Coturnix japonica: one gene and its partners. The protein of the gene in region 7 interacts with the protein of the main gene of each other region in a biochemical or structural test. Links are inferred from orthologs where the notes say so. Each region holds a gene or a part of one and is shown on either strand. Other genes may lie near its edges. The genes, in order: TNFRSF1A, MBP, SMAD1, PTPRR, HIF1A, ATF2 and MAPK1.

The links.
Region 1: the proteins of MAPK1 (region 7) and TNFRSF1A form a complex in vitro, tested with the Homo sapiens proteins (2 studies listed by BioGRID, with this or other methods). The link is inferred for Coturnix japonica from reciprocal best matches to the Homo sapiens genes MAPK1 and TNFRSF1A.
Region 2: of the proteins of MAPK1 (region 7) and MBP, one has a biochemical effect on the other in vitro, tested with the Homo sapiens proteins (16 studies listed by BioGRID and IntAct). The link is inferred for Coturnix japonica from reciprocal best matches to the Homo sapiens genes MAPK1 and MBP.
Region 3: of the proteins of MAPK1 (region 7) and SMAD1, one has a biochemical effect on the other in vitro, tested with the Homo sapiens proteins (3 studies listed by BioGRID). The link is inferred for Coturnix japonica from reciprocal best matches to the Homo sapiens genes MAPK1 and SMAD1.
Region 4: the proteins of MAPK1 (region 7) and PTPRR form a complex in vitro, tested with the Homo sapiens proteins (2 studies listed by BioGRID, with this or other methods). The link is inferred for Coturnix japonica from reciprocal best matches to the Homo sapiens genes MAPK1 and PTPRR.
Region 5: of the proteins of MAPK1 (region 7) and HIF1A, one has a biochemical effect on the other in vitro, tested with the Homo sapiens proteins (3 studies listed by BioGRID). The link is inferred for Coturnix japonica from reciprocal best matches to the Homo sapiens genes MAPK1 and HIF1A.
Region 6: of the proteins of MAPK1 (region 7) and ATF2, one has a biochemical effect on the other in vitro, tested with the Homo sapiens proteins (3 studies listed by BioGRID). The link is inferred for Coturnix japonica from reciprocal best matches to the Homo sapiens genes MAPK1 and ATF2.

What each region holds. Positions count from the first base shown.
Region 1 is NC_029516.1:71,186,140-71,190,021, reverse strand, and holds part of TNFRSF1A (tumor necrosis factor receptor superfamily member 1A), read right to left. Parts: intron 3,797-3,882; coding exon 3,653-3,796; intron 2,102-3,652; coding exon 2,020-2,101; intron 1,723-2,019; coding exon 1,655-1,722; intron 1,435-1,654; coding exon 1,312-1,434; intron 974-1,311; coding exon 936-973; intron 222-935; coding exon 65-221; intron 1-64.
Region 2 is NC_029517.1:81,533,173-81,537,054, reverse strand, and holds part of MBP (myelin basic protein), read right to left. Parts: intron 829-3,882; coding exon 398-828; intron 1-397. UniProt on the Homo sapiens protein: The classic group of MBP isoforms (isoform 4-isoform 14) are with PLP the most abundant protein components of the myelin membrane in the CNS. They have a role in both its formation and stabilization.
Region 3 is NC_029519.1:27,332,579-27,337,029, reverse strand, and holds the start of SMAD1 (mothers against decapentaplegic homolog 1), read right to left. Parts: upstream 2,980-4,451; 5' UTR 2,904-2,979; intron 1-2,903. UniProt on the Homo sapiens protein: Transcriptional modulator that plays a role in various cellular processes, including embryonic development, cell differentiation, and tissue homeostasis.
Region 4 is NC_029516.1:32,690,968-32,695,373, reverse strand, and holds the start of PTPRR (receptor-type tyrosine-protein phosphatase R), read left to right. Parts: upstream 1-1,340; 5' UTR 1,341-1,411; coding exon 1,412-1,472; intron 1,473-4,406. UniProt on the Homo sapiens protein: Sequesters mitogen-activated protein kinases (MAPKs) such as MAPK1, MAPK3 and MAPK14 in the cytoplasm in an inactive form.
Region 5 is NC_029520.1:49,074,645-49,078,526, reverse strand, and holds part of HIF1A (hypoxia-inducible factor 1-alpha), read left to right. Parts: exon of another isoform or gene 1-979; coding exon 980-1,182; intron 1,183-2,338; exon of another isoform or gene 2,339-2,461; intron 2,462-2,467; coding exon 2,468-2,574; intron 2,575-2,760; coding exon 2,761-2,908; intron 2,909-3,163; exon of another isoform or gene 3,164-3,535; coding exon 3,536-3,756; intron 3,757-3,882.
Region 6 is NC_029522.1:14,863,953-14,867,834, forward strand, and holds part of ATF2 (cyclic AMP-dependent transcription factor ATF-2), read left to right. Parts: intron 1-3,296; coding exon 3,297-3,475; intron 3,476-3,763; coding exon 3,764-3,878; intron 3,879-3,882. UniProt on the Homo sapiens protein: Transcriptional activator which regulates the transcription of various genes, including those involved in anti-apoptosis, cell growth, and DNA damage response.
Region 7 is NC_029530.1:385,999-390,387, reverse strand, and holds the start of MAPK1 (mitogen-activated protein kinase 1), read right to left. Parts: upstream 3,096-4,389; 5' UTR 2,872-3,095; coding exon 2,729-2,871; intron 1-2,728. UniProt on the Homo sapiens protein: Serine/threonine kinase which acts as an essential component of the MAP kinase signal transduction pathway. MAPK1/ERK2 and MAPK3/ERK1 are the 2 MAPKs which play an important role in the MAPK/ERK cascade.

The DNA of each region.
Region 1 (3,882 bases), on a different chromosome or scaffold from region 7:
CATCCTCCCAGCCATATCTGCATAATCAGATATCCCTAGGGAGGGATACCGGAGTTACACCTACTGTCTGGAAGCTGCCTCTTCCTGGCAGTTCTGATGCAGTCTGGCAGCTCATGTGAACTTTGTAGCAGAGGTGCAGATGGTGGTGCTGCATTCACTAGCAGTTCTTTTTCTTTTTGGATCTCGGGAAGGACAGTAATTGCACTCCCTTTCGCCTCAACCTGAAAGAGACAACGTCTTAGTTCAGAATCACCCACAGCAGCACAGTACTCCTATTACAAGGAATCACCAGCTTTCTCAAAGAAAACGTAGCAAAGACAGGTTGAAAGCAGATGGTGAAGTTTGATTTTTTCCTGTATCTCTTGTTTAAGCAGAAGGCATCAAAAGCCTATTTCACAAGGAATTTCATTCTTCTTTTGACATAAAGAAAGCCTGGAATCCCAACCCATCACCATTCTAGAAGTCCCAAAGGCCACTTCCCTCATCAACCTTCTTTGTAACACTATGGAAACCCTACTTTGACTATTGCTCTTAATTGCTAATCAACAACACAGCTGATGAAATGCTGTAAAGCTGGACTAAGAACATTATGGGTTGAAGTTCTGAAGTGAAATAAAATTATCTACATTTTCTCATCTTGGAATATATAAAAGGACAATGGGATTAAGGATTAGTTGTCTGAAAAAAACAATGCATCCAGAAAGAAAAGAACACAAAGCCAGGAGCTTGAAAAGCACCTCCTAGCAAAATGGAAGTAAGATTTTAATGGCTCCACCTGCTACAATGAAAGATTTTTTAACTCAACAGCCCTATTATTCAGCTTTTTTGAAAACCTAAGGCCTGAAAACAGCTCATGGGGAACAACTTTACTCTGGATCCCAGGTTAATGTGGTTGAAAGAGGAATGGAAACTCTTACAATCATCTTTTTGCTCACCTCAGATACTGGCTCCTTGCTTGTCTCTGGCAAAGATACTTGAATGAGAAAGAAAGAAAACAAAAATTATTTTCACTTCCTCTCTTCCCAGAGAAAACAGGAAAGCAGCTATTCATAATCCTGACCTCAAAAGGTTTTTACAGCAAACTCTCATCTGCCAGAAACGAGCTCACATGCACTTCCAGTCACAGCACAGAAGCAGAGTTGCAGGAAGTGCACCAAGCTTGGCTGTTGAGTTTTCACATTCCCTCTAGCCTTGGATCAGAGCAGTGTAATGGATCCCACTGTTTCCCTCATATGCGTATGTATGCATACATTCACACAGCTGAGTGATGTATATCACAATCAGTATCACAGCATATGCTGCTATACTCACCACACAAGTAGAAAGGAGAGGCTATCCCATTTTTCTGAACCATCTTCACTGCTTTATTTACAATGTAGACGACACAGATAACCACAAATATCGCCACAATGATGCCAAGAACAAGGTTCCCATCTGGACAAAAGGGAGAAGGTGAATGAGTGAGAGACTGAGAGGGGAACAGGTAAGTACTTAGGTACCTGAGAAAGAAGAACAAGGGAGCACATGCAAATGGTGATGAGTAATGAATAATGACTTGAAACACTAGAGACAGCAAGGTGTTGACAGATAATGTCAACAAAACAAGTTTGCACTGAAAAGATCCCATTATCCTCGAGGTTCCCCCAGTACTCACTCGGCTGAGATGAATTCGGTGAGGTAGTCACTGGGCTACTGCACTGCAGGCATTCTTCTCCAACACAGCTGAAAGTAAATCAGAAATGTGAGCATGCAGCAAATGCAACACCAGACATTTGCAACAATCCTAGAACAAGTCCAGAGGAGCCTGCAAAGCACAGCAAGGAAGTGTGCCTAATGACTGTGGTCCTCGATCAGAGAGGGCTGCAATGAAGGACAATACTAATTGCTCCAGAAAGCCAGAACCTTGTAAAATGAAGATGGACAGAACCTTGAGAAAAATTCCCTCCCCTTGTGGAACTTGAGTCAGTTCTCTGTCCTGTTCAACATACAGTCACACAGAGAAAAAGAAAAACAGCCCACCTGTTGCAATGCTTGCAAAGGTTATTAAGCGTCATGAAGAACATAGGCTTACACTTGCAAATTGCATCTCTGTCCTTTGAACCTGCAGAGAAAAGAAGAAACTCTTGCCAAAATCTGGACAACAAAGAAACAGAAAGGGGAAAAATTCATTCCAAGACAGGTGGGAGATTATTCCTCTTTGAGCCTGAAGAACTGTTATTGGAGAAAGGAAAGAAGATTCAGATTACTTGGGGCTGGGGAAGAAGAAAAAAATAATAAAGGTGAGGGCATCACTGTTCTGGTAGGTCAGACACCTCTGCAGAGGTTGGGAAAGGTTAAAAAAGAAGACTGCATCTGAGATGGGTCTGATGGATAAGAATAGTTTCAGCGCAGAATGGGGAAAGTCACTCCAGTTCAAGTGTGACAGGAAGGGGAAATTACATTAGGCAAAAATGAGGAAGAAGTGGTCTCTGAGCAGCTGGGACTGCTGAGGAAGTCAGTCCAGGGTAGGGAGAAATCACTTCAAGCGATGGGACACACATATTCACACTTGTGATCTGTTCTATGAGTGTACAGGGTGAGAAATTGAAGACCTATTGCTTTTAAGCAAGCCACAGCACAGATGCTGAAATTAAAAAAGAGCAGGCAAGAGTAGTGAAGGAAGGACAACATTAAAAAAGAGAGGTAAAAAGGCATTAGAATAAGCAGCATACATTCTGTTACATGTGAGGGACAGGACGAAGATCAGATGAGGGAAGGAAGTCATTCAAGGACAGTGTATGATGATGATCCTTGAGGGCAGGTGTAAGCACAAAAACTAACAGAATTCACTACACACCACAGGGAATGCATTTAACAAGGAGACAGAAAGGGGACAGGAGAAGCAGAATTTACGAGGAAGAGGGGATTACTTTAGTAAAGCAAGGTAAAGAGCATTTAAAGGACACGAGCAGAATTAGACTTCAGGACAAACTGGAGGGTGGCAAACAGAATGGGGTTAACATCTCTGATCCCCCACTGGAAAGGAGACAGCTTGACATAGCTAACATGGCTCGTTCTTTTAGACATCTGCACCATCCCCACATGACAGTGATGGTGATGAAATCCCAGTGGGTATACTTCAGTATTACATCAAGACACTGCATGATATACTGTGATGGTTCGGCATCTGACTGACAAGCAGCTCAGCTGGACACTGAAAACAGTGGTGTTGTCAGCCTTTATACGTACAGTACATAGACCAGTTAGCAAGGGAAATGCAATGAGCATACAGAAAAATACCCAGTGAAAGACAAAAAAAAAGTAAAAGGAAAGTAAGTAGGTAATCTGCATTCAAACATAAAGATCTTACATCAGTACATCCAAGGAAGGCAGAGCTACTGAAATTAAGTAGCAAATATATCATGATAGCCAACACAAGAGAACACACAATTAAGGTAGAACTTGTAACAAAAAAACAGGGATTGATTGCAAGGCATGCAAAAAAGTTACAGTCTTCCTCAGGAAAGCAGGCAAGCAAAACAGAGTTGTCCCAAAGCTGAAATCGCTTAAGGGCAAGCTGCTGCACCACAGTAGAAAGCAAGGAGAGGGATGCTAACATCTATCTTAATGGCATCTGCCAGTAGATATATCTGTATACCCATGCTATACTTACAGTTAGCAATAATTCCATTAACACACGGACTGCAGTTCTTACACTGGAAGAAATCAGCCTGGCCAAACTGATATTGATTCTTCCGACAGCCACACACGGTATCCTGCTTTAGGGTGCATGGGGTCACTTCTATCTGCCGCAATTCTGAGGAAAGGAATGAAAAGTGACTGAACCAACTCTACCTTCAGCTGAGACCACTGTTATGACAACAGTTGTTATTAGCCCCTAAT
Region 2 (3,882 bases), on a different chromosome or scaffold from region 7:
TCAGTTTCACATATATTTAAAAACAACACAAAAGCAGGCTCAGGTCTCTCCCTAAACAGCACAGCATACAAATACACACAGCACGCCATATAAAATGCTCATCAAAATTCTGCTTGGTAATGTTTCTAGAGCCACCTGGATTTCTAATACACCTCGTCACAACCCAGAAACAGCTCCTTGCATTTCTCAGATTTATGTTGGTTTTGTTTTTGTTTTTTTGTTATTTTCAGATCAAAGCCAAGCATTAAGTTACACAACTGCAAGTACAGTCTTGCTGGCTAAGTCAACTCTTGCATTCTAGCAGTTACACCTTCTTCTCAGTCCCACCCTTATCTCTTTAATTGTATATTATTTTTTTTTCCTGGAGCTGTGCAGTTCTCTATTCCTCAGAGCTCACCTTGCCAAAGCCCCGCCGGGGAACGTGTCTGTCACCTCCAAAGAATCTGCCCAGCGAGTCAAGTAGACCCGAGTCTCTGTGCCTTGGAGATCCATGTCGAGCATGGTCTATAGTGCTTGCCGATGCCATTTTTGATCCGTGCCGGAAAGAGGAGCGTTTTTGTGAAGCCATCAAATCCGAATTCTCTGAAGCTGCTGCACTGTCCTCTTGGATGGTCTGTAGCTCGTCTGACTCCGAGGGCCGATCTTTGAAGGTGTTGTCTTCTCTCCCCGGGGCATCTCGGGAAAAGAGGCGGATCAAGTGGGGGCGACCGGCCGTGTCAGCTGGGTGGGACTGGGGCCAGGCATTCTTCGGATCCGCTGTGCCTTTGGAGTCTGTCACCGCTGGGCTCTTCGTGGAGGTCCCATTGTTCTGGTTCACATCTGCCTCTCCTGCAAACAACAAGGATGAGATATGAATACAGGCCTGTGAAAAACAGCCCGGGAACAATGCTGCTTTCTTTCCACTGCCTTGAGATGGCCATTTCATACAAAACCCGTAATATGTGCTGTTGCGACGCAACTATGTTCTCTAGCAGCCTGCAAGAACATTAAGCTATCTTGGAACTGAAACTGCAGTGATGTTCTCACACGAAATTTGCAGTAGTTCTAGGTGGTTTTTGTGGTTTTTGTTTTTTGTTTGTTTTTGTTTTAAATTACAAGTATTTGTAAATAGATTAATTTGTTAGAAGCATAACTGACTTCAATTGGCTTATGTGGAAAGCTTAGTGACCCTGAGGCTTTTAGCTACAACGTCTGGACAGGCAGATTTCCAGTACTTTCCACTGAAGACTGGAACTCTACAGCATGTTTTTTTGTCTCCTAAACAGGGGAAAGTAGTTCAAGTGACATAGCAGGACTGATCACTTCCCAGTGCATGCTCCCCCTCTGCACTGTCCAACCTTCTCCAGCTGAAGTTCTGCCCCCGCTTTGAATTTCTCACTTTGACAGTGAAGCAATTCCATTAAATTCATGAACAAAAGCAAAATGAGGTGTGAGAGATTTATTTACTACTTAATTATCATCTCTTCAAACAAGTAAAAAAAAAAAACTGCAACCTCTGCTTTGCCTCCCAGGACAGTTGTTCTCCCTACATTTCCCAGACTATCTGATGCTGAAGGCCATGAGCAAAGCTATCCCAATTGCATTTAGTATTTGTGAGAAGTGATTAAAAAGGATTCACAGAACCCAGTGAGCATTTTTCCAAGAGAAGCTCCAAGACAGATCTCCTTGACCTGTGCCAATATTTGCTGCCTTCTCTACAGTTGGGTTCTGATGCACACACTGGATTATCTGCAAAATAAATCCGTTACAGCACACATAGCACTTAACACATGCTCTATGTTGATAGAAAACTGAGTTTTTTGTTTGTCTTCCTCTGTTGTAGACTAAAACATGTAGATACATACTGCATCTAATATGCCTTCCCAGGAATACAAAACCAAACCAAACCTGTTGGTAGATTACTGCTTGAGAATCAGTCTCAGAGCAAACACTTCTCACACACACCCCCCATGTCACAAATATCAAGTTTTTTGGAGTTAATAAAGCTTGAAATTTCAGACAGAAGTTCTAGTTAGTCACGTGTTACTTTTAGGGTTTCCTGATTACCTCATTAAATCTCCCTTTGCTCTGGCCTTTGATGCCATGTGAGGAACAGAATCCGGCAAATACTGTTACATTTCCTAAATAGCCAGGGCTCCAGTACTTCAAAGCAATTTTGGACTTGATGAAGTCATTTTATGCCACTTTTCCCACCCACAGGGCACTGAAGAAACCTCTCCTCAGGCTGAGAGCATTTCTGAAGTAAATTAAAGGGTAAAAGCACAAGACAGAAATTATGATTTCTCCAACTACATACCTAGTACTTACCAAGTGACAATTTGTTGTTATCAGCCTGCTGCAGTTCTAACACAGCTTCTCATATGAAAATATTTTGTGCAATTCCAATGTGTGCCTTTGAAAACTACCCAGACTACATTAGGGAATCTTAGACTTTCCTTTGGTTAAAACACTTGAAAGTATTTCTCAGGATTATACTTGTTTAACCACTGCTAATTGTAACTTAAGACCTCATCAGAAGAGAAGAGGAAGATATTTGCTGGCACCGTTGTGATTTTAGTTCTCCTGAGAAGATGCTTTTGGATTCCTTACCAGTTACTAAACCTCAACTGTTTTTCCTTAATCAAATGAAAGATAAAATAGCATCACCAGTACGTGACACTTTCTGAAATTGCAAAACATTTTAAATAGCAACCATAACCCCGGATTCTATACCATAATACAAATCCATTCAAGGACAGAAAAAGAAAAATAAACAAAAGAGCTATTGTATTTAATTAAATGCATTAACAAGACACCAGAGCATCTGCATACTAATATTTTTTACAACAGTTGTGCTTTGTGTCACTGAATACGTGCATTGGTAAGCAACAAAGAAGGGCATTTGTGCAATAAAAGTTGCTTCTGTGAGCTGTGAAGCATAAATCTTTCTGTATGTTCTATTTCAGTAATGAAAGCATACATTTAAGTAAGTTTTCTTCTAAATTTTCTTCATGCTCAAGTGTTCTTTAAGGTGTAAAAATACATAAATAACAATATTTGAGCTAACTAAGTGAAGTCTTCAAGCGAATTTTGAGAGAGCAGCCACCTTTAAGAGACCCAGAAATAATGGAACATGCAAACGTTTGTGCATAGGTCTGGTTAGAAACAAGTATTTAGACTTCTACTAAGGCCCATCATAAAGACAGGGCAAGTTATGCTGATGTGTTTTTTGTTTGTTTCTTCCTGCAATATGAAGTTCTGCTTTGACAAGGCTGTATAAGACTTCAAATAAGCAAGAATAGCCTTCCTATGACACATCATTTGTACAAGAGAAAGCTGTCAGGGAAGAAGAGGGTTGCAGGTATTATTTTTACCCCCCAAAAAAGTCTTGCAAATTAGGTTAATTTTAAGAGTAAATACAGCACATTGCATTTCCATAAGCATAACTGGAAGACTATTAAATTGTACGCTGTTGGTCTGAGTGGACAAGCCATCTGTTTCCAAAATGAAGCAATATAGATGAACCAGAAAAATCTAAACAGCCAGTTAATGAAATTAAATGAATGGAAACTCTGAGGGGACTTTCAGTGAACCAATATTAAAACTAACCTCCATTGTCTTTAATAGGAGTCAGGCCACACCTCACTATGCTCAAAACCACTGTGCCTTGAAGCTCAACTTGGCAACAGTGATTCATCACATCTCTTGACAATCAAAACGACATCCCTGAATAAGCCTCAAGTTAGCTGGGACCTCTCAGCCCTGTCTGAACAATTGCTACTGTCAGAACCTGTTTTATACAAAGCAAAATACTAGCGGTAGGACTAGAGGGAATGGCTTCAAGTTGTGCCAGGGGAGGTTCAGGTTGGATATTAGGAAGAATTTCTTCTCAGCACTGGAACA
Region 3 (4,451 bases), on a different chromosome or scaffold from region 7:
AAGTTCATTTTTAATTTGAATCAGTTCCCTGATAAGGTTCACTGTGTGGTTGTCCAAATCCTTGTGCTGACCCTGCGTAGGAGCAGGAATACGGTGGGAGAAAGGGTGAATGGCTTCAGCCAGCTGAAGTGCTTATGAAACTGTAACAGATATAGTGAACTTCTTTTGAAGCGAGGAAAAACTCTTTCATTTCAAGTACAACAGCACATGTGAGTTCAGAAGAGCTACTGTAAGCTGGGCTCTTTGGTGAATAAAGAAGACAAAGAATGATAGGACCAAGGAACTGAATGAGCTTATTTACTCTGTTATGGAGAGTAAGTAAATTAGTAATTAATTAGTCATCCCAAGGTAATGAGTTCTTAGTGACTTCTCCATAACTGACAAGTCCTGAGAATAAATGTATATGTATTGGTTTCTGTTTGCACTTTCAGGAGGAAATGACATCATAGGCTTCAGACATCCTGGCAGTCATGCAAAGTGTTGGAAAATGTTGCCCACAAGACAAAGGCATTAGGACCAATTTTAAGCTCCGTCTTTCCTTCATAGATCAAAAATAGCCAAATTTTTTACAAACAAGTTGAGTAGATTTAAAAGCAACCCCCTCTACATTTCATATATTATTGCACAAATCTATAAGTCCTCACTATAAGCCAAAAACTGCAAAACTAGGCCGCTGAAAGCAAGGACCTATCAGGATCAATGTGGTTGTTATCATCTTAAGTACTCAGTCGCGGCGGGTCCTGACGCCCATCCTCTATTGCTTATACATGTTCTTTCCAAAAGATCTGTCACATTCAAAGAACAGAACAAACAGTGGTCAGAAATAACACACAGTGATTTTGTTTTCCCCACCAGATTATGCTGTAGCGAACCATTACAGAAAGGGCTTTGGCAATACCTAGTTGCAAAACTGAGGCTAAGATAAAGCTGTTTTACACCTCATTGCTCATCTCCTGTCAAAGAAAAATCATCTCTCCTTTTCCTGCCAAATTGATATATTTTCCCAAAAGTTCTCTAACATTTTCAGCCCTGGCAAAACAATCTGTTCATTTCTTTGTCCTGTTCTCAGAAAGGCTGAAACATTTTCTCTGACATTTTCTACACATTCTGCCTGAAGCACACACCTAGGATAATTAATATTTGATGAAGTTCTGAATACATCAAATCAATACAGTTTCAGTGTAGGCAACCTGAATGACAAACAATTATCTTAGCCCACTAATACTATGCGTAGTTTGCTCCGAAAGTAATGCCTCCTATTTATTCCTTGGAAACTACAACAGGTACAAAACATAATAATGCTACCTGATAGAGCAAATTTGCAGCTACAAAACACTGCGTTTCAACAGAGCCACCACAATTAGCTATGCATTTTTGTCAGCAATGAACAACAGACTGCATACCATGCTGGTGAAAACATGCATGGCTGCCTGGATCATGGCTTGTCTTTCACGTCGCTATCACTACTGCTGATACACACTGCCCACTGCCTCACTGTACTGACACTCTTTGTTCATACACATTCAGCAAGTGTCAATGAATGTCGGTGGGTGCCAGTTTTTCCGCATGGAAGAATTCAGTGACAAATCCTTGCTTTACGTGCACTTCTACCTCAGACATCATTTTGTCAGACTGCCCCTCTGCTGCCATCTGTCACAGGGCAGCAACATGTAAAGGGATATTGGCAGGGAGGTTCAACCTCTACTGCCTTTAATGTCATGGGCCGACAGCCCTCATAGTTCTAAGGACTGAACTATGCCATGCATATCCAGAGATTCTGCTGATGTCAGAGGAAGAGACCTCATGGCTCACCAATACTTCGGAAAGTGGTATTCTAAGTTCCACAGTCAATGAGACTAAGGTACCCATGTGCCTCTTCAGACAATTAGATTTCAGTATGAAGCATTTGATCTGAGTGCAGAAACGTATCACTTTTACAGACAAGGATCAAATGTTCAATATGGACATCATCATCACAAGGAAGTCCCTCAGTAACCGCAAATAGCAAGATATAGCAATGCTGCCTTATTCTAACTGGAAACCTGTAATCAGAAATTAGCCTCAGCCAATGCACAGCTGGTCCAGCTTCTGCAAAGTACTGTCACACGGCATGTGAAACCCCTACAGTTCAGTTGTTCATGCTCCTAAGGCTTTCAGCACCTAGAAGATGGCACTGACAGAGAGTATATCACCCCGATTAAGCAAAGCATATGCCTGTCAGAGAGCAACCAGATGGAAGAGTGCAACAATTTATGGCCTGCAGTTAGACAGTCTTGCACTGTGATCTCATCAAATCCTGAACAGAATATGTCAAACTTGGTCAGTGTGTCAGTGCACAGATAAGATACACTCCAGGGAAAACATGGATAGATTAAGAAACAGTTTAGGATTCTGACATAGGATTTAGATGACAACTGCTAATGCACTGTTTCAATTCTCAGTTAATTTCCCAGATGTCTGAGATACCCCAATCTAGTCCTGGTTGGTCGTAGTTGAGAGTCATTGTGCTGCTGGGAGCAGATTTCTCATTTCTCAGATGAGAAATAAAATTACAGTCATGCCTTGTGATTAATTAAAAAAATCATCCTTGGTTTTGCTTGAGGGCATGGCATTTTCAGAGGCAATGTAATAGAGAAAGGAAGATTGTTCAGTTTCTTTGATCCCGGTATAACCTGCCAGCCTTATTTTTTCAAAATCCTACTTTAAAGTTTGTCAATACTGGGACACAAAAAGCCAGAAATGTAAGTTGGTTTCAGACTCCAAACATCATGAGAATTTTCTAGAAAGACATATGCAATAACGGAGCAGATAACACAACATATTCTTTTACAGTTCCATTCTCTTCCCTTTACACTCACATTTCTGCTCATTCACACCACTAATTACTCAACTGTTAACCTCACCTCATTTCCCCAGATTCTGATCTAGTGTGTGTTCATCCTTATTCTGGTTTGAGTCTCTTTGGTTCCAGTCACTATCTTTGCCTGCAAAACACAATATACATATAGAATTTTACATAGAATTGTTGTGCTCTAACAAAGCATACAAAGTTTTATCTCAGACTCATTAAAGACAGTGACAATGATGCTTCCTGAAGAACTAACTAGTCAGAAGGTAATTAACCAACCTAAAGTTTAGCCAGGGCACCACATAGCACCAATGGCTCGAGAGGAAAATGCCCAGAGGATTGCAAGCAGTCAGGTCTCCTACCTCCCGCACCGCATAACACTGCCCACAGATGGATGGCTAAGGCCAAAGTGAATTTACAAACCTTTTGTTCTTCATAGATACGTAGTGTTTGACTGTATCAGGCTATAGAATAATTAATTTCTGGAACTTTTAGGCTGAAAAGCATTCACATTTTTTATACTTGCTTTGCTCTGATTTTTGTTTTACTTTCCGTTCTTTCAATTTCGACAAAAGTGAATCAGAGAAGCAATGCCTGCCTTATCGTTGATTCGTGGTATATAATCACATTAAATACAGATCACTGGCCTCCTAGTTACTACAGTGCCATTTACAAGAGACAATTATCCCTGCATGGTGCAGTTTTCATGATTTAGTGATTGAAAATGCTTGTTATCAGTGCAGACCCAGCTGTGTGTTTCTCTCTCTAAAGCTGATTTGATTTTCCAGCGCTGTCATCCTTGAAGTTCTCTGCAGTGCAGCTCAGTTCCCAGTCTGCACATACCAAGTGAGGTCCTTTTGATGTAAGGTGCATGGGGCAGAGTCTGCATGCTGCTCCCACCTGTTTCAGGACAGCAGTACAAGAAACAGGAAAGAAACACAGCTACTCTGGGAAGTCTCCAGCCACTGCAATATGCTGAAAGGAAGCCCTACTAAAGGCAGTGACCACGTGTAAATGCCAAAACAAAAGGTGAGGGGGCTGGGGGATGGAAAACAGCAGCATTGTCTACCAAAACACTCCAGTTAGTTTAAAAATTAGCTGGAGAAGATGCAAAGAAGCCTGAGTCTTAATGACCTCAGTCCTGTAATATACTACTAATTAGCCCTATGATGAATAAATAGGAACAAAATAAGGAGTGACAGACTAGGTCAGCCAGTGGTTTGCCAAGCCTTGTCTCATCTTTTCTACTTGGGTCCGTATGAGGTGCTTTTTAATTGTGTCTATGCTATCTTTTATTAGTAATCAGGACCAGAATTGCATTGCATTATACCTTATACAAATAGACACAGAAACACTCCACTTGCTCTTTGATCCTATAAAGCACAGCAAGAGCAGCTCCTCCCCAGCTGATATTTGTGCAGCTCCTTCTGGAGGGCAGACACATGCCTTTGCTGCTTCTCTGCCAGCCCTCTCTCTACCTCCTGCTGACCTAACCCAGCAAGCCTCATATTTTTCTGCCCTGCCTCTTTCTGCAGCCTACACTGTTCTGCACTGTGATTATTTTTTCCTGCATGCATTTACCTCTTTGGCCTTACCCCTAACG
Region 4 (4,406 bases), on a different chromosome or scaffold from region 7:
GACAGAATTTACTAAGGGTAGTAAGTGCAGCTGCCTACTTATTGCTCTCAAATGTACAGCTCTGGGGCCTGGGTACACAGGAACTGCAGTTGTGGGGCCTTAAGAGGAGTGCACTGCACAGATAGACAGACTTCTATTCTTCACTTCTTTTAGTTCTGATTTTACCTATTCAAAATGAGGAGGAATAATCCGGATCATGGTGTGCTTCAAGTAGTATATGCCCACATCAAATTACCACCAAAAAGCAGCATAGGTCCTGTGAGTTAGCAGGGCATGTGAGGCACAATACCTACAAAGATATCACTGAGATGACATGGCTCAGGATGCTACCGTGCTCAAGTATCCCCTCAGTCCTTTTAGTTCCCCCATTTCGGGCTGAGCTCAAGATTGTGCTGTTTTCCAACCCAGGCGTTTTTTCACTTTTATTGCTGTCAAGCAGCCTATCGGCATGCCAACAGCCGTGCGGGGGCTGGCAGAGGAAGTTCGTTTGCATACGTACAGTCACACATGCAACCACGTCTATAAATCTGCTCCTGTGCAGCCCTCTGCATCATGACATTAAGGAAATGTCTACACACAGGTTTGTCTGAAAGCAACTACAAGAAAGCAAGCCCTGTTAATCTCTGTAGTTTCCTACTTCACTCCAGAAACTGTTTCTGCTGCAGGATGGACCATCAGCCACGTGCAACCCCAGTCCTGCAGACGGGCCACTTGTCGGGTGGTGCGTGTGTTTCTTGCTGTTGAGGCTGACCTCCGGTGACTCTTGTTCAGTTAAACACAGCTTTAGCAAATAATCGTGTTAGAGATCGTGTTAAATTTGCCGTGCCTGGCCTCGGTATTTGGGACTGATATTCCTGTTACCAGGCTTTGTGGGTGCCTGCCGGGTGGGTGTTGCATCAGCCCACTCCAGTGGCAGCTCAGCAGCCCCAAAGCCAATGCTACTTTCATTTCAGCCATGATTCCCAACACAGTTTCTGCTAAGCATTTATTTACAACACAGAGTGTCTGACAACAAACTGAAGGACAGGACTGCTTCCCCTGCAAGCACAAAAAACACACGTCTCCTACTTCCTCTGGGTCGAACCTCATACATACGCCCTTTAATATTTGGAAGACGCAACTGCATCAGCGAGCCAAGGCTGCGGTTGAAGCCTGATGGAGAATCCCCCCCGCCTGCCCCACTGTCTGTCTTCTCCCTCCCGCTCCTGGACGCTCTGCTCGCATCCCCTCACTGCTCACCCATCTCCTCACCCCGCGGTGGGGGCATCACCCACCCCACCTCCCTCCCGTCCGCGCAGCGCTGCGCAGGCGCAGGCATGCTCACTGCCGGGGGGAGCGGGACGCGGTGGCGCGGCGCTGCTCGCCTCTGCTCGGCTCCACTCGCTCGGCTGGGCTCGGCTGGGCTGGCACCATGCGGCGGGCGGCCGCGTGCCTCCGCGCTCTGTGCCTCCTGCTCCAGCTCCGCGCCGCAGGTGAGCGGGGTTGGCCGCGGGTCGGGCGTGGGGCGGCCGCGCACCTGTTGTAGCGGGGCCAAGGCTGGCGGCGGGCGGGATGGATGGAGGGCGACGTTTCAGCACCGCGGTCAGCGCTCTCCCGGCCCCGACCGCGGCGGAGCGGGGACAGCGAGCGAACGGGAGGAGACGGATGGTACATCTCCTCTTATCCTCTTTTTCTCCGCTTTCCTCTTCTTCGGGGGCGGGGGGCTGCTCTGAATCCCTCTCCTTTATACAGAGCTACACCTCATTATCCCCAGGATGGAAACAGAATCTGCGGTAAGGGTAGAATTAAGTAAGTTCTTAGCTAGGAAAGTAGAAGTGTTTCCTTCTCTATGGGCAGCATTGCTACTTCTCAGGTAGAAAATGGCTGTTGCATCCCACGTTTAACTTCACTGAAGTTCAATTAAGAGAAAGAAATGAACGCACCCCCAGATGCTATGCACCCTTTTGCTCCCATAAAACGATGCTTTTAGGAGAGATTTTAAAGATGTGAGTCATTTGCATTGCCTTATCGCAGAATCATTAAAAGTAATAATTGAGCTTCATGTCTCTTTGAATGTGGAAGCAGTGTGCGTACACAGATCCCACGCACAGCCGATCTGTGTATGAAAACAGCTGTGTGTCTGGGTGCAGCTGTGAGGGGGCACCGCATCCTTTTGTTTGCTGTGGGCTGGAGAAGTGCCATGCAGTGGTTATTGGTGTTTGATCGCCCTGGAAAAGCAGGCTGCACTTCATAAAACCTCAGGATCCTTTTTCCTTTCTGGTTAGGAAGCTCATGCTGTTATATCTTATATACATGTGTGAGAGAGACTATTGACTGAAAGGCAGAGCACATCCTGCAATCCATTTTAATAACAGCCTTAAGCTGCTATTAGATTGTTCTTTTACAACATGTATTAAAGTGATCATGTGTACAAAATTAGTGCACAGCCTCTGTTTCACAGAACATGCTTTCTAATCTCAGTTCATCCTCTAATAATAGTGGACTTCACATTAGTTTAGATGTGAATCATTTTTCTATCTTACTAATATCCTGCCAGAAAGCCATTTATGTTCCTTACTAAGTTTAACTTGCTTTATTAAGTCACTGAGAATCCTTGCAAAGCTTGACCTTTATTATGAAAGTATCTCTAATAATGAGAAAAATAGAGGAAAAATAACCTACAAAAGTTCATGTGGTGTTACTTTGTTCCCCAGGCAGTCTTGGAGAGTAAGTCTTTCAGAGAAGCCAACTGAAAAAATAGACAGGAGATGCATTCAGCCTTTGCATACTGGGCATGGCTCTCATTGAGTGCAAGAGCTGTGCTTCCTCCAGGCAGGGCTGAGTGCAACTTGTTCCTGTTGAAAGTCATTGAAGATGTCACAACAATAAAATAGCACAGCAAGCTTAAACTGCTCTGATTTCTGTTTCATTTGATGCAAGCAGAAAATGTGATCTTTCATGGGGTACCATTATAGACATCTTTTATGAATAGCCCAAACTTATAAATTATTGACAATGCTTTTGCAGCTTTGGTTCATGTGATATCATAAAATACATTCCCCTTACTACTTGTGCTGGGTCACAGATTATATCCGAAATACCAGTTTTTGGTAGTGTGATGAGAGCTGTTTGCTTTTCATGTTTCATTTTGTTCTGAGGCGGACTATACATGAGGCATGCTTCTGTGTAAGGGAATAGAGGGGACACTGTCAGCAGACATTAACAAAAACTCCCTTAATATCAATCAGTGATATCAGGCTTTAGAGAAAACAGAAGCCCACATTTACTTGATCTGATACTACTGCAAATAGAATTCACTCTCTAAAATGGTTAAGTAGTGCTGTTGGTATACTGGTATATCTCTTTCTGAAATTATAGACACTTGTGTGCATATCTGGAAGCAGAATTAGACCTTTCTGCTGAATTCAGCAGGTAAAGTAAACAACCTGTATAGAGCTTGCTGTTGGAGGAAGACCTAAATTTGTAGTAACTGATTACAGGTCAGTATGAATCTTTGATTTGTATTATGTATCACATGCGAGAGTGCAAGACAGGTTATAATTTTTTTAGCAGCTATGATCTAATGCATGTTCTTGCACTGAAAAATGAATGTTTCCCAAGATTACTAGAGAGCATTGTTTCCTTGTAAGAGAATGGCAGGTGGTAGCAAAAACACAAAATGAGGCATTAGACTAGTTTGCAATTTGAGCTATTTGCATCACAGATTACTCAGCTAATTAACTATTTCATTTCACTTTCTTTTTTAGCAGATTTCATGAAAAGAGTTAAAACATGATGGATAAAGAATTCAGTCATAGTAAATAACTCAGGAAAATAATCTAGTTGTGAAAAATACTTTCTCATTTAATGATTATAACATGAACCCACCACCTCTCTTATCTTAAGATCTTATCAGAGCATTCTTAAAGTATTTTTATTGAGAGGAACAAATTCTGCTGCTGGAAAAGCAAAATCTCAACAACAGGAGATTTGATCAGGTCACCTAAGACATGGTTTAATTAGCAAAGGCCTTACAGTAGGTTGTAGGGACTTCAGTTAAATTGTTTGTTGTTCTCTTCATCAGTGAAGAGATACACTGACATCCTTAAGTATGGAGCAATGCTTCTTTACCAGCCTTTGCAGGGAGGAAGCACATAGGTTCTAGTCTTAGTCTCTCAGTAGATTCCTTCTTGAAGCCTATCAGTTGAATCAAGTAAAATCCAAGTAGGAAACTGGTATTTTATCTCCTTGGGGCAATGTTTTATTAAGATGAGGATTGCTTGTATCAAAACTGAAATTTCTTTGACCACAAGCTAACACTCCTTTGGGAGGAATTCACTAGCTGTAGAACTGGGGGAGGGGGAGGAGGGGAGGCTGGGACGAGGTATGTTATTTTCTAAAAATCTGGGGAATGTAATTCTAGAGAT
Region 5 (3,882 bases), on a different chromosome or scaffold from region 7:
AGGTTGGGTTTCAGTAAGTATTTCATTTAATGATTGTGCTTCAATATGCTGAATTTTAATGCAGAATGCATCAGGGAGGTAACTGAAACAATGTTTAAAATTAGTTTTTCAAAACTCTGTAATTCTCCCTTTTAAATTAGAGGTTATTCATTTGTTAGAAATTATAATTACTAAATGCTTGCATAAAGCCGCCTCCTCTGAGGGAAAAATACCTGACGCCATTTATACTGATACTCCATTCCTTTTGATTCAGCTTTGCAAATCCAACAGTTGAGGTTCCTCTGAAAGACTCCTGTGTTGTTCTTTCTGAAGTTGCTGGCTATCCCTTTTGTAATAGCTGGGACTAAAAGAGCCCTGTCTGATAAGTGTCTGAGATGGATGCATTTTCATGTCTTCCTTTAGGCAGCCTTTTACTGTATAAAGTGGCATTACAGTTAAAAATATCCTTTTTAACTTAAGCTTAGTTACTGTTGATCAAAGAACAACTTCTTTGCTGTACGTGAACTATTTCTAGTTCAGATTTCTGTTTTTAAAAGGGGAAAATGAGAAAATGCAAACCTTCTCATCGTTTGAAGAATGCACTTGATTTTGTCTTCTAACATCACTTCTGCAGATCTAAAAGGGAGGCTGATACTATTAGCGTAACTCTCAGGTTGACATAGTAGGATGCCAATTGCTTACCAGTGTAATGAGTTTAGCTGTCAAAGACATTGACAGGAATGCAGAAACTTCTGGCATTGCTTCTGCAGACATGAGAGGAAGGAGCTGGCAGAGTGTACTAACAGCCTATGTAAGATGACGAGAACTGTCTGTATTTTAACAATCAGTTTAAATGCACTCTTGTGTTCCTGCTGTTGATAACGCTGAGCCTAGAGAGGTGGGGAGGGAAGCACTTAACTCTGTGTGCATCAATGGAAGTGCATCTGTGTTGGCTGACAGAAAGCAGTCTGGTCTCTTCTTAAGTCTAACTGTCCCACAGGTACTGCACTGCACTGGACACATACGTGTATATGACACATGCAATAATCAAACTCACTGTGGCTACAAGAAGCCTCCCATGACGTGCTTGGTGTTGATATGTGAACCAATTCCTCACCCATCGAACATTGAGGTCCCCTTGGACAGTAAGACGTTCCTCAGTCGTCACAGTCTTGATATGAAATTTTCCTATTGTGATGAAAGGTAAAATATATTCAGCTCTTAAAATCTGCATTCATGTGAAGGAATGATTTGCAGGGGTTGTGTGTGTTGGCTGATGTGGGCCTCATGCTTTTACAGGCTCAATTATCTGCAAAAATGGAGTTGTCAGTGAGATGCTTTGGCTTTTGTACTGACTGATCAGGATGTCGTATTAAAAACCAAACTCTTAAGTGTAAGGAAGGTGTAGGGTAATAGTGAGTAATTCCTCAGTTAAAGGCCAGTTTGAACAGTGTTGTGGTAATGATTACATTGAAATGAGAAGATTTTTCTGGATGCTGAGAAAATGGAAGGGATTGCTGGAGATGGTGGTGCAGTTTATAGACCAAAAAGAGTACATACATAATATCTGTCAGGCATGTTGTGCTGCTTTTTTTTTTTTTTGTCAGATCAGCATCTGCTTTTTCCAGTCAGGAAAAAAAGTAAAGCTTTGTTCTACTTTTAATGCAACACATCTGTAGTAGAAAACAAGATTTTGTATTATGGTATGTCAGTGATGTAGTCTAATACATACTCATCTTACTACTCTTTGGAAGCTCATGCTTGATAAATCTGAAAAAACAGACAGGAAGGAAATCACTGGCCTTTTTTTTTTTATGGGTTCTATTTATTACTGCTAAGACCTTCCTTTTTTTCTTTAATGTAAAAACGAATTTCTAATCAGTTACTGCAGTTAGATACAAAAGTACGTTAGTATAGGTCACTTTCTGCCCCGTGCAGTAGCTTTACCTTTCTTAGGCTGCTGGTGGTATGTAAAACATGTGAATTTGGTGATGTTGTGCATAAAGCAGGGCCTGGTGCTTTTTCCTAGTTAGCGCTGCCCTCTAGGGGCTGTAGAAAATACTTTGAAAGCCAACAGTGAAGAGAATAAATCTCATTAATAATTTGTTTTAGTTGCATGGTTAAAACTGTTAAAGCATGTCTTTATTTTATTATATTCTCATTTGTGTAAGCTGGATATTCTAGTCTGTAAGTAGCTTGTCTACTTTGAAGCAATAACGTCTAAAAAGCAGGGATTTACTTAATCCTGTCCATCACAGGACATGCTTTATAAATATTCAATGAGAAGTAAAATCCTATGGCTGCTGAAATGTCTTGTATCTTATTAAAGGAGCATTAGGAAAAAAAAAAGCATACTCACACTAAACCATCATTGCTGGTAATGTTCGTGGAAGAGATTCTTAAGTTCTCTGTGGATCTACAGGCATCCATATGCTCTTGTATTTCTGTTGCTCAGTGTCTGCTCAGCAAATTTTCTCTTGTTCTAAAGAATTACAGAGTTGATGGGATATGAGCCAGAGGAACTGCTGGGTCGTTCAATCTATGAGTACTATCATGCGCTGGATTCTGATCATCTGACCAAAACACACCACGACAGTAAGTGAAAAAGATGTATTTAATGCTCTCAAGTACAAGAAGTGAGATAGAGAGCCAAGGGAAAGCCACAGAATAACAAGGGTTTTCCTTTTAATTGCAGATATGAATCTGCAGAGAATACCTAGCTTGAAAAGGGATATATTTTTTTCTGCCTGTAATTAAAGCTGATGTCTATTCTGGTTTTAGTGTTCACGAAAGGGCAGGTGACAACGGGACAATACAGAATGCTTGCTAAACAAGGTGGCTACGTCTGGGTTGAAACTCAAGCAACTGTTATATACAACACTAAGAACTCTCAGCCACAGTGCATAGTATGTGTAAATTATGTGTTGAGGTAAGTTAAGTAGGAATTGCTATTTTTGTCATGACTTATTTTTTTTGGAAGACTGAGTCAGATTCATCTTTGACTTGCTAAGAATCCGGTCCCTATTCAATATGCTGCAGTGCTATCTGATTTTCCTACTGATTAGCTTTTTACTTAGAATGCTGCTAGTCGTAGGATTAGGATTAAAAAAGACAATCACTTTGTAGAGATATCAGTGGGGAGATCTCTGCAGGCAAACAGAATTTGGGCATTGTAGGCACTTACCTAATTTTTGTCCACAGTCTAGAACAGTTATACTCACTGGTAATTCCTAGTGATGGAGTCAGAGGTATCCATTTATCTTTTTCTTCCTTTGAATTCTTTCTACTGAAACCTTAAACTTAAGGCAGACTTGAAGTATTTTTCTGCGACAGTGGAATAGTCCTAAGTTAGTTTTTCACAGCTTTAGTGAACGTACCAGTATCAATCCATCAAGATATAGTACCTTCATTTAAAAAAAGTAGAAGACTTTTAAGGAAAGCCCCGAAGTTTGTTTTACTTCTTTTTCTTACTTTCTTGATGCTTTCATGGCAACTTAGAAAATCGTGAGGGCTGAATTCTAGCTGGTTTTTAATCATCTTCCTTTCTGTCTGGCAGTGGAATTGTTCAGAAGGACTTGATATTTTCCCTTGGACAAACGGAGTGTATGCTGAAACCAGTGGAGTCTCCTGAAATGAAAATGACCAAAATATTCAGCAAAGATGACCTGGATGATACCAACAGCCTTTTTGAAAAACTTAAGCAGGAACCAGATGCTTTAACTGTGCTGGCTCCAGCTGCTGGAGACACGATTATCTCCCTAGATTTCAGCAGCAATGGTGGGTGTGTGTTTAAATTGGAGAGCATGCTAATTAGTAAAGTTTGGTATTTTGCAGTAAACTTTGGAAAATAACTTCCCACTTTCACTTGCCTAGTGATCTCTCAGCCACTGTTTAAAATTTAAT
Region 6 (3,882 bases), on a different chromosome or scaffold from region 7:
AAATGTGAGCAGAGTGTTGCTGTTTTCTCAGTTAGATTTTTTTATACTCCTTCTGTAGGTGTGTTGAAGGAGGGAAGGTTTGTTTCTACTCTTCAGGGCAGAGCTGGTTTTAAAATTCTATATGCCACCGTAACCATCTCCTTGGCTGAATATGTTTTAGTAGTCTTAAATGGTCACAGCCTGTTAATGTACGTGTAAGAGGGTTCTCATTTTCTTTGTAGTTGTCAGAGCTATTTCTTAGACACTCTTGAAAATTGTGCTTCGTTCTATTTTTAGTACTGTGGGAGAGTTTTCTTAGTTCCATGAAGCTTCAGTAACAGTTGTTATTCTACGTAGAATAGACTAATATACCACTGCAAGTACCTAAAGCCTTTCAGACGTAAAATAATAAACATAAAAAGCTTAATTTATTATTTGAGAGTTTTCAAGTTCATTATTGTTTCTTATTAACGGTATATTAAAAGGAGACCCTCAGAGTTTCTCACGTTGTTCTTCTTGTTGTTGCCAGGTAACTAATTCCCTAAACTAATTATTTCAAAACCATTTGTTTTCTTACATTGCTTCTCAATTACAGCAATAGCTCTGGCCATCTGCCTTTCTGTATAAAGAATTCCAAGCATTCATTGATTGTGTTAAAAAGTCATCGCATGGTATTTGCTTTTAGACTCAAAATCCCTGCAAATATGCAAGTATTGAAAACAAATGTAAAAAAATATAATTGTCTTCTGCAAAAAAAATTTCTGAACTTCAGTGGTTTTTAGTTTCAAGAATAAGGATTGAAGAGGTCCTTTCAATAAATCTTCAATATCTTTGAATAGGTTTAAACTCCTTTTTCTTTTACAGGTGGGTACAATCTCTTACGGTCATGATTCTGCCAATTTATCTTTTTTTTTTTTTTTTTTTTGTCCCTGTTCTTTAGCAGAATTTACAAACTATCCTATTTTAGACAAAATTTACACTTAATAAGAACAATTCTTTGTCCAGTGAATTTCTTTATTGGGATGGCGTGCTGGCGGGTTTTTGTATGTTCATAAAACAACAGTTTCTTGTAGATCCAATACATCTCCAGTTTACATTATTGCAGCATTGTTTAATTAGCACATGCTTTCCAGAGTTTAACTTAACACACGTTAGTGTGAGAAGAAGAAATGGAAAATACTTTGTTTTCAACTGAATAAAAGTGTTCTTCTTTTAATGTTTGGCGACCATTTTTGCTCTTTTAAACAAAGCACTGTATTTAAGATAGGCTGTATTTAATTGAAAGAGTTGCATGCATATGAGGTTTCTGTTTTCAGGATTTTAGATAATTAACTTATGTTACTAGATTGATCTTCTGATGGTCACTGAAATACATTTACTATGGAGTGCTTGGTGTGAAAGATGAAAATTACCTTTCTTCAGGTAGAGACTCAGTCCAGGAGGAGATTCATTTTACAATCAGTATTTATTAGGGTGCTCATCATTTAAGCTGTTATCAATAGCCAATATTCACATAGTGCAGTAACTTAACCGTGTTCCATAGTTGAAGTAGAAGTTGGGAGGCGGGTCCCAGCTGCTTGCTCGTAAGTGGAAGGTTGTAGTGGTGGAGGGTTAGGTGGCTTTTTGGAAGCCCTTTAGGAGGTCTGTTCTGTCACCAAGTCCATATATAATCCTGTAGTCTTCACTTGTACGTAGCAGCCACCAAGTTCATGGATGTTACCTGAATCGTACAGTATGTTGACATTGGTGTCCATGCACACCCCAGTGACCACGTGCAGATTCAGCTGCTTTTCTGAGTTTATCCATTGTTACATATTCAACAGGGCTGTTTTTCTCTAGAGTTTTGTAGTCTTTCACATGCTGCCTCTGAGCGCATGCTTCTAGTTTTGGTCTGTTGTATTCTTGCAGCTATTGCCCCATCTGCTCACACAGGTACTTAAAAAAAACAACTGTTCCCACAGACCCATACAGAAAAGGGTCTGCTCTGGCATTACTGTTACTGAGAAGGTATGAGTATCTGCACATGAGTGCATTTTTGTCTTAAAGCTGTAACACATGGTGGTTCTGTGGCTGTAGCTACCTGTTTTTGTTGGGTTTTTTTTCCCCACTTTTTTATAGAAAGTAGTATTACTTTGCCATGGGTATTCATTCTGTGGTGTTCATGTATCTGCATTTATATTTATATGTACGTATATGTGTGGTTGCTGTGTATGAAGATGTTTCTGGTGAAAGAGCAGAAAAAAACCCACCATCTCTTAAAGCTGTTGGTTCTGCTATGTATGGCAAAGATGGGTGTTCCTGTGTTGGAGACTTTCTGGTGACTCTGCTAGCCTCCTTGGGTGTAGTAACAATGCAAGCGGCAGGTAGGAGAAAATGAAGCTGAAACGAGTGAAGAATGGCACAATGCTATTTTTTCAGTTAACTCTCGCTAGATTCAGGGCTTCTGCCTTCCTTTAACTTCTAGTCTCAGGAGTGTAGCTATATGGGCCCTTGACTGTAGAGTTAGTGTGAAAATACCAGATACTGTGGAAAAATCCCACGTAAAGACAATCTGAAGTCTGACCATATGGAAGGTTTCCTGAGAAGGAAGAAATTGGTTTTGGCAAGGCACTTTTGGTTTCACTGGGTTACTCATACTACATTCCAGGTCATAATATGTGTTACCTGATTGCTAGGCTAAGAAATGCAGTGAGTTCTGTCTACTGTCTAGTTGTAGCTAAGGGGATTCGTTTCTTGTGCTAGGATCATTTTCTCTGTGTCATGATAGCCAAATATTTTGCAAAGCATCTGCGTTACATTCTAAGGAGTTGTAACTGCATAACACACTATTTATAAAGCATATGTAAGTCAGATATAAAGGATCATAAATTATTTCCTTTATACTAGAAAATTAACCTATTTTGTTTTTGTTCAAGTATGCAAAAATAGACTGAATTTGAAATGTTCACAAGGACACCATGAAATGTTTTCTTACTTGTTGTGGGTACGGTGGTGCAGATAGCACCCTGGGTTTCTTGGTATAAAAATATTTAACTAATAGTTAGATTTGATTGGATATTAATAGTAACCTTATCATAAATTGAGCCATGATTGGTCATAAAACTAAAATTAAACTACAATAAATTTCATTTTAGTGATTGAAATAATTAATCCAAAGGTTTTTATTATTTTTTTTTTAATGTACAATTGATTGTTCCTGCTGATTCAGATGTTAGGGAACTTCTGATACGTTCAGTTAAATTGTTTTCCTTTTATGACCTGAACTAATGGTGTATAACTGTATTTTACAAGCAGATTGATCTTTGGTTTCTCCTCAGGAGGTGTCACTGCAGCAGACTGCACAGCCCACATCAACAATAGTTCGTCCAGCATCGCTACAGGTTCCTAATGTGCTACTTACGAGTTCTGACTCAAGTGTTATTATTCAGCAGGCAATACCATCACCAACGTCTAGTACTGTTATTACCCAGGCTCCATCCTCTAACAGACCAATAGTGTAAGTTACATAAATCTTGATGTAATGCTTTCTTGCAGATTCTGAAAATATTGTCTTGTTAACTGTCCGTTACTGTTGCTTTGGTTATTATACAACTTTGAGATGCTTGCATGAAAGTGGTGCTTCACTACAGGTGAAATGCTATTCCGTGTTCTTCAGGTCAAGTTCATATTTTTAATCTCTAAATATTACATTGTAACTGTTTATATACCTATGTGTTTATACAATGTATAAGCTCGCTCTCTTCTCTGGAAAAGTTTTCTCTAATACATGTAATTCTTTTTTCAGTCCAGTTCCAGGCCCGTTTCCGCTGCTGTTACATCTTCCGAATGGACAAACCATGCCTGTTGCTATTCCTGCATCTATTACAAATTCTAATGTGCATGTCCCTGCTGCAGTTCCAGTAA
Region 7 (4,389 bases):
GCATTCACCTTTATGGATTACATGCACAGTTTGCAGCAGTGATAACACTTCATGTTTACGTAAGTGTGATGGCAAGAAGAGTTCTAAGTAACAATACAAAACAGAAGCCTGTCATCACACTCTCATTAACCATTTCCTTCCAAAAACTACCTGTTTTAAACTATCAGACAATCCCTTACCAAATCAGCACTGACCACGTGGATGGAGAACAGCTCCTGCTGGCAATGCAGGGCTCAGTACCTGCAGAACCTTTCGAGGCAGGCTGCCCCACCAGCACCTGGCGAGGAAGGGGCAGCTTCGTTCCAGAGCCATCACTGCACCTGAGAGCTCCGCAGCTTCCAGCAGCAGCCAGTACTGGCTGATCCCAGGCCAACAAAGCCCTGTATTTGCTATTTCATGTCTTACTGTCAGCAAGGTGCTGCGGATTTCAGCTACATCTCAGCATGGTGCTCATCCCCTGGTTCCACGTGCAAGAAAAGTGAAAAACAACAGTTTGGGAAGGGATGCTTACATGGATACCCACTTATTAACCTCTTAACTCCCAGCAAGATGTTTTTTAAATATGAACTCCCTAATTCAGCGATGTGGAAACATAACACTTGTGAAAAATAAGCGAGTGAGGGATTCCACTAAGAGTTAAGCCACCCATTTTGCATATAGCAAGCCTTACAGCACAATGCATTTAGAAATAACCAGCACCTTCTGTCTCATACACATCAGCTGACTGCCTAAAACAAAGCCATTAACGCTTGCCTTGCTGTCCTTTCTTAAGAGTACAAACCTAAATGGCTTTTCAATAGCAGGAGCTGTCTCCACCTGCACCCTGTGGCTTTGCCCTCTGCCACCCCAGCCCGGAAGGGAGATGCTCTGCAGATCTGCACTGCGTTACAGTCAAAGCAAGACCCGGGACACGCAGTACGAATCTGCATAAGCTCTACCTGCACTGCTCAGTAAGCACTGTTACTTAACCATAGTAGTCGGTGTGCTGCGCTGCAAGGCATGACAGTTGCTATGGCATTCAGCTGGAACATGTGCATCCAGCACCTCCTTTGTCAAACACGCATAAACTGAGACTTTGTTCCCTGGCATTTCACACCCAAGGCAGAAGATCAATAATTACAGTGCAATGTATCACGTTCAGGATTTCACACCAACAGCTTTAGAGAAGAAAACAAAGGAGCCAAATGAATATCTCAACTAAACTGGAGATTCAGAATTTTTTGTTAAGAAATACAGATAGCATTTGAAGCAGAATATCATTTAATATGGCAAGTTTCCAAACAGACGATAATATTCCACAGTTTCAGAGAGGAAACCCTTCCATAACAGAATGGAGTGACACACCGTGTGCAGGGGAAGAGAAGGACCCCGTTTCCCTGTCTGCTCCCAATCACGGTGACGCCAAAAAAGGGCATCAGCTGCCACCGCACTGCGCCGTGCACAAACATCTCAGCGTGAGCAGCCGGCTGCGGCACCACCTCGGTACCGCACGGCACGGCGCTGCTCACAGCTCCTGCCTGGATCGCTCTGCGGGCACCAAGCTCTGCTGGGGCTGCGAGCTGCCACCCGGCTCCGCTGATAAAGGCACACAATAACAACACCTGGAACACGAGCTCTGGACGGGCCGTTGTTGTGACTTCCAGCACTAAACCAATAACAAGGTTATTTTTACACCATCAACGGGAGCTTTTGTTTTTTTTGGTTTATGTGCTGGAGCTTCTTCCCACAACACAAAAGCAAAGGCCGCAGCTTTAAAGTTCCTGGCAGATGTTTGTCTGCCTCCCCAGCAGCTCAGGAGCGGCTCCAGCTCCCACCAACACAGCTCGGCCTCACCGTGACGGAGCAGCACATCCCCACAGCTGCGAGAGGAAACCTGCAGATCCACAGCGTGCAGCTGAAGGCAGCAAGGCAGCTCTGCTGAGCGATACACTGCGGTTTACAAAGCACGAACCGACAGAGAGAGAAAGCAAAGCTGCTACACAACCATAGCTGCGAGTGTCACACAGCACCTCCGGTCACACAACACACCGGGAAGCGCCGCGATGGGCCCGTCAACGAGGAGCTGCGTTTCCCATCCACAGCCGCCCATGCAGAGCAGGTGCCCCGAGCCGAGCACGGCCGGCCCAGCCCGGAGCTCAGCGGCAGCACCGCGGCTCGGCCCGGCACGTCGGGGCCGCTGCTACAACGCCAAAATCTCGCGATCGTTGTCCCGCATTTCGCGGTTGGCGCTCGGAGCTCGGACCGGTCGGCGCAGAACGCGCACACACGGCCCGGCCGCCGCCTGCCAGCCGGGCAGGGCCGAGCGGAGCCACCCGGCCGCAGCCGCAGCGGGAGGCCCGGGCAGCAGCAGCAGCAGCAGCAGCAGCAGCCAGGTGAGCGCCGCACAAAGGGACAGCGGGGCCCAGGGCACAGCGGGGCAGGGCAGGGCCCAGGGCAGGGCAAGCGGCGGCCGCCCGGCCTTCACCTTCACCTGCCCCGCCCCGAGGCCGCGCGGGCCGCTCCCGGCCGCACTCACACAGCGCCCCGAGCCGTACTCACCACCCCATGCCGTACTCAGCACACTGTGCCGTACTCACCACCCCGTGCCGTACTCAGCACCCCATGCCGTACTCACCACCCCATGCCGTACTCACCACACCATGCCGTACTCACCACCCCATGCCGTACTCACCACCCCGTGCCGTACTCACCACACCATGCCGTACTCACCACACCATGCCGTACTCACCACACCATGCCGTACGCCCCCTCTCCGATGTACGAGAGGTTGGTGTATCGCGGCCCCACGTCGAACACTTGGCCCCGCACCATCTCCGGGCCCCCGGTGCCGGTAGAGCCGCCCGCGGCCGCGGCCCCCGCCACCGCCGCCATGTTGTCCGTGCCGGGAACCGCGGCGACTGCGTGCGGGGAGGGGAGGGAGGAGAAAGGAGGGGACGGGAAGGAGGGAGCGAGGAGGAAGGAGGCGGCTCCGCCACACCGCGCTGAGAAGCACCGGCCGGAGAACGGGCCGCGGAGAACGGAACGAACCGACCCGCCGAGCAACCACCGCCACCAGAGCGGGGACGGGACGGGACGGGAGGGGGCGGGGGGCGGGGCGAGACCGGGGGGGCCTCGGACTGCGGTAACCGCAACCGACGGGGAGGGGGCGCGGCGCGCGGGTCACGTGGGCGGCGGGTCACGTGGTGGGCGCGGCCGCTCCGAGCGCCGCCATTAGAGGAGTCAGGTGATGGCGGGAGGAAATGGAGACCGGGATGGGGGGGAACGGGACGGGACGGGACGGGACGAGCACGGCGGGTACGAGCACCGTGCGGGGACGAGCTCCGTGCGCGTCGCTCTGGGCCGGACACGCAGCCGTTCCCGCGGCTCCGTGTCCGGCGCTACGTGCGCGTTCCCGCGCCCACACGGTGCTGTCACACACGGTGCTGTCACACACGGTGCTGTCACACGCAGCCGGGCCGGGCCGTCTGTCTGAGCTGACATTAAAGCATCAGTGACAGAAGGAATGGGAAGGTGTCTCAAGCAGGTCATTGGTTTGATGGCTGAAACACGGCGTTATGTTGAGGGGATGCTGATACCACGAAATGACGGCGGGTAATGACGAGTGGAGAGAAGAAAATGAACAGCATCATTGGGCTTAGAAAAAGCACAAACAGCTGCCCCACAGTGCTGCTCTTGGGGATTTCGTTTTCTCTGCTAAAACTCAAACTGAACAGTGATGCAGGAAACTTAAAGGTAGTTTATAGAAACAAGTAAAGGAAACTTAAAGGTAACAAGTAAAAGAAACAAGGGGCCTGGGAGAAGCAGGGAGAGTGCTGTGCTCTCAGTGCTGTGCTCAGTGCTGTGCTCTCAGTGCTGTGCTCAGTGCTGTGCTCTCAGTGCTGTGCTCTCAGTGCTGTGCTCAGTGCTGTGCTCTCAGTGCTGTGCTCTGTGCTGTGTTCTCTGTGCTGTGCTCTCAGTGCTGTGCTCAGTGCTGTGCTCTCAGTGCTGTGCTCAGTGCTGTGCTCTCAGTGCTGTGCTCAGTGCTGTGCTCCCAGTGCCCCGTCGTCCAAACCAAATGCAGACATCCAGTACAGAAAGCAATTTTCCAAGTGTTATTTAAGGAGACTTCAAGCCTCTGCCTGGAGGAGAAGAAAGAGAAGTAAGACATGTAAGGCATTCTATAAAGATGTATTTTAACTTCTAAGGCAGTCAGCAACCATGGTGATGAATGTGACACAAACTGAAATTGCTCGGATATGAGCTCTGATCCACTGGGAGCCATCCTAAGAGAGTCATAAAGAGCATCAGATGCTAATGACTTCTAATCAGAACCTACCTGGGCCTGATTGAACTGGTGTCATACAGCCGAAAGCCCACGGGACAAGTTGTCATTTAAATGTCATCCACTGC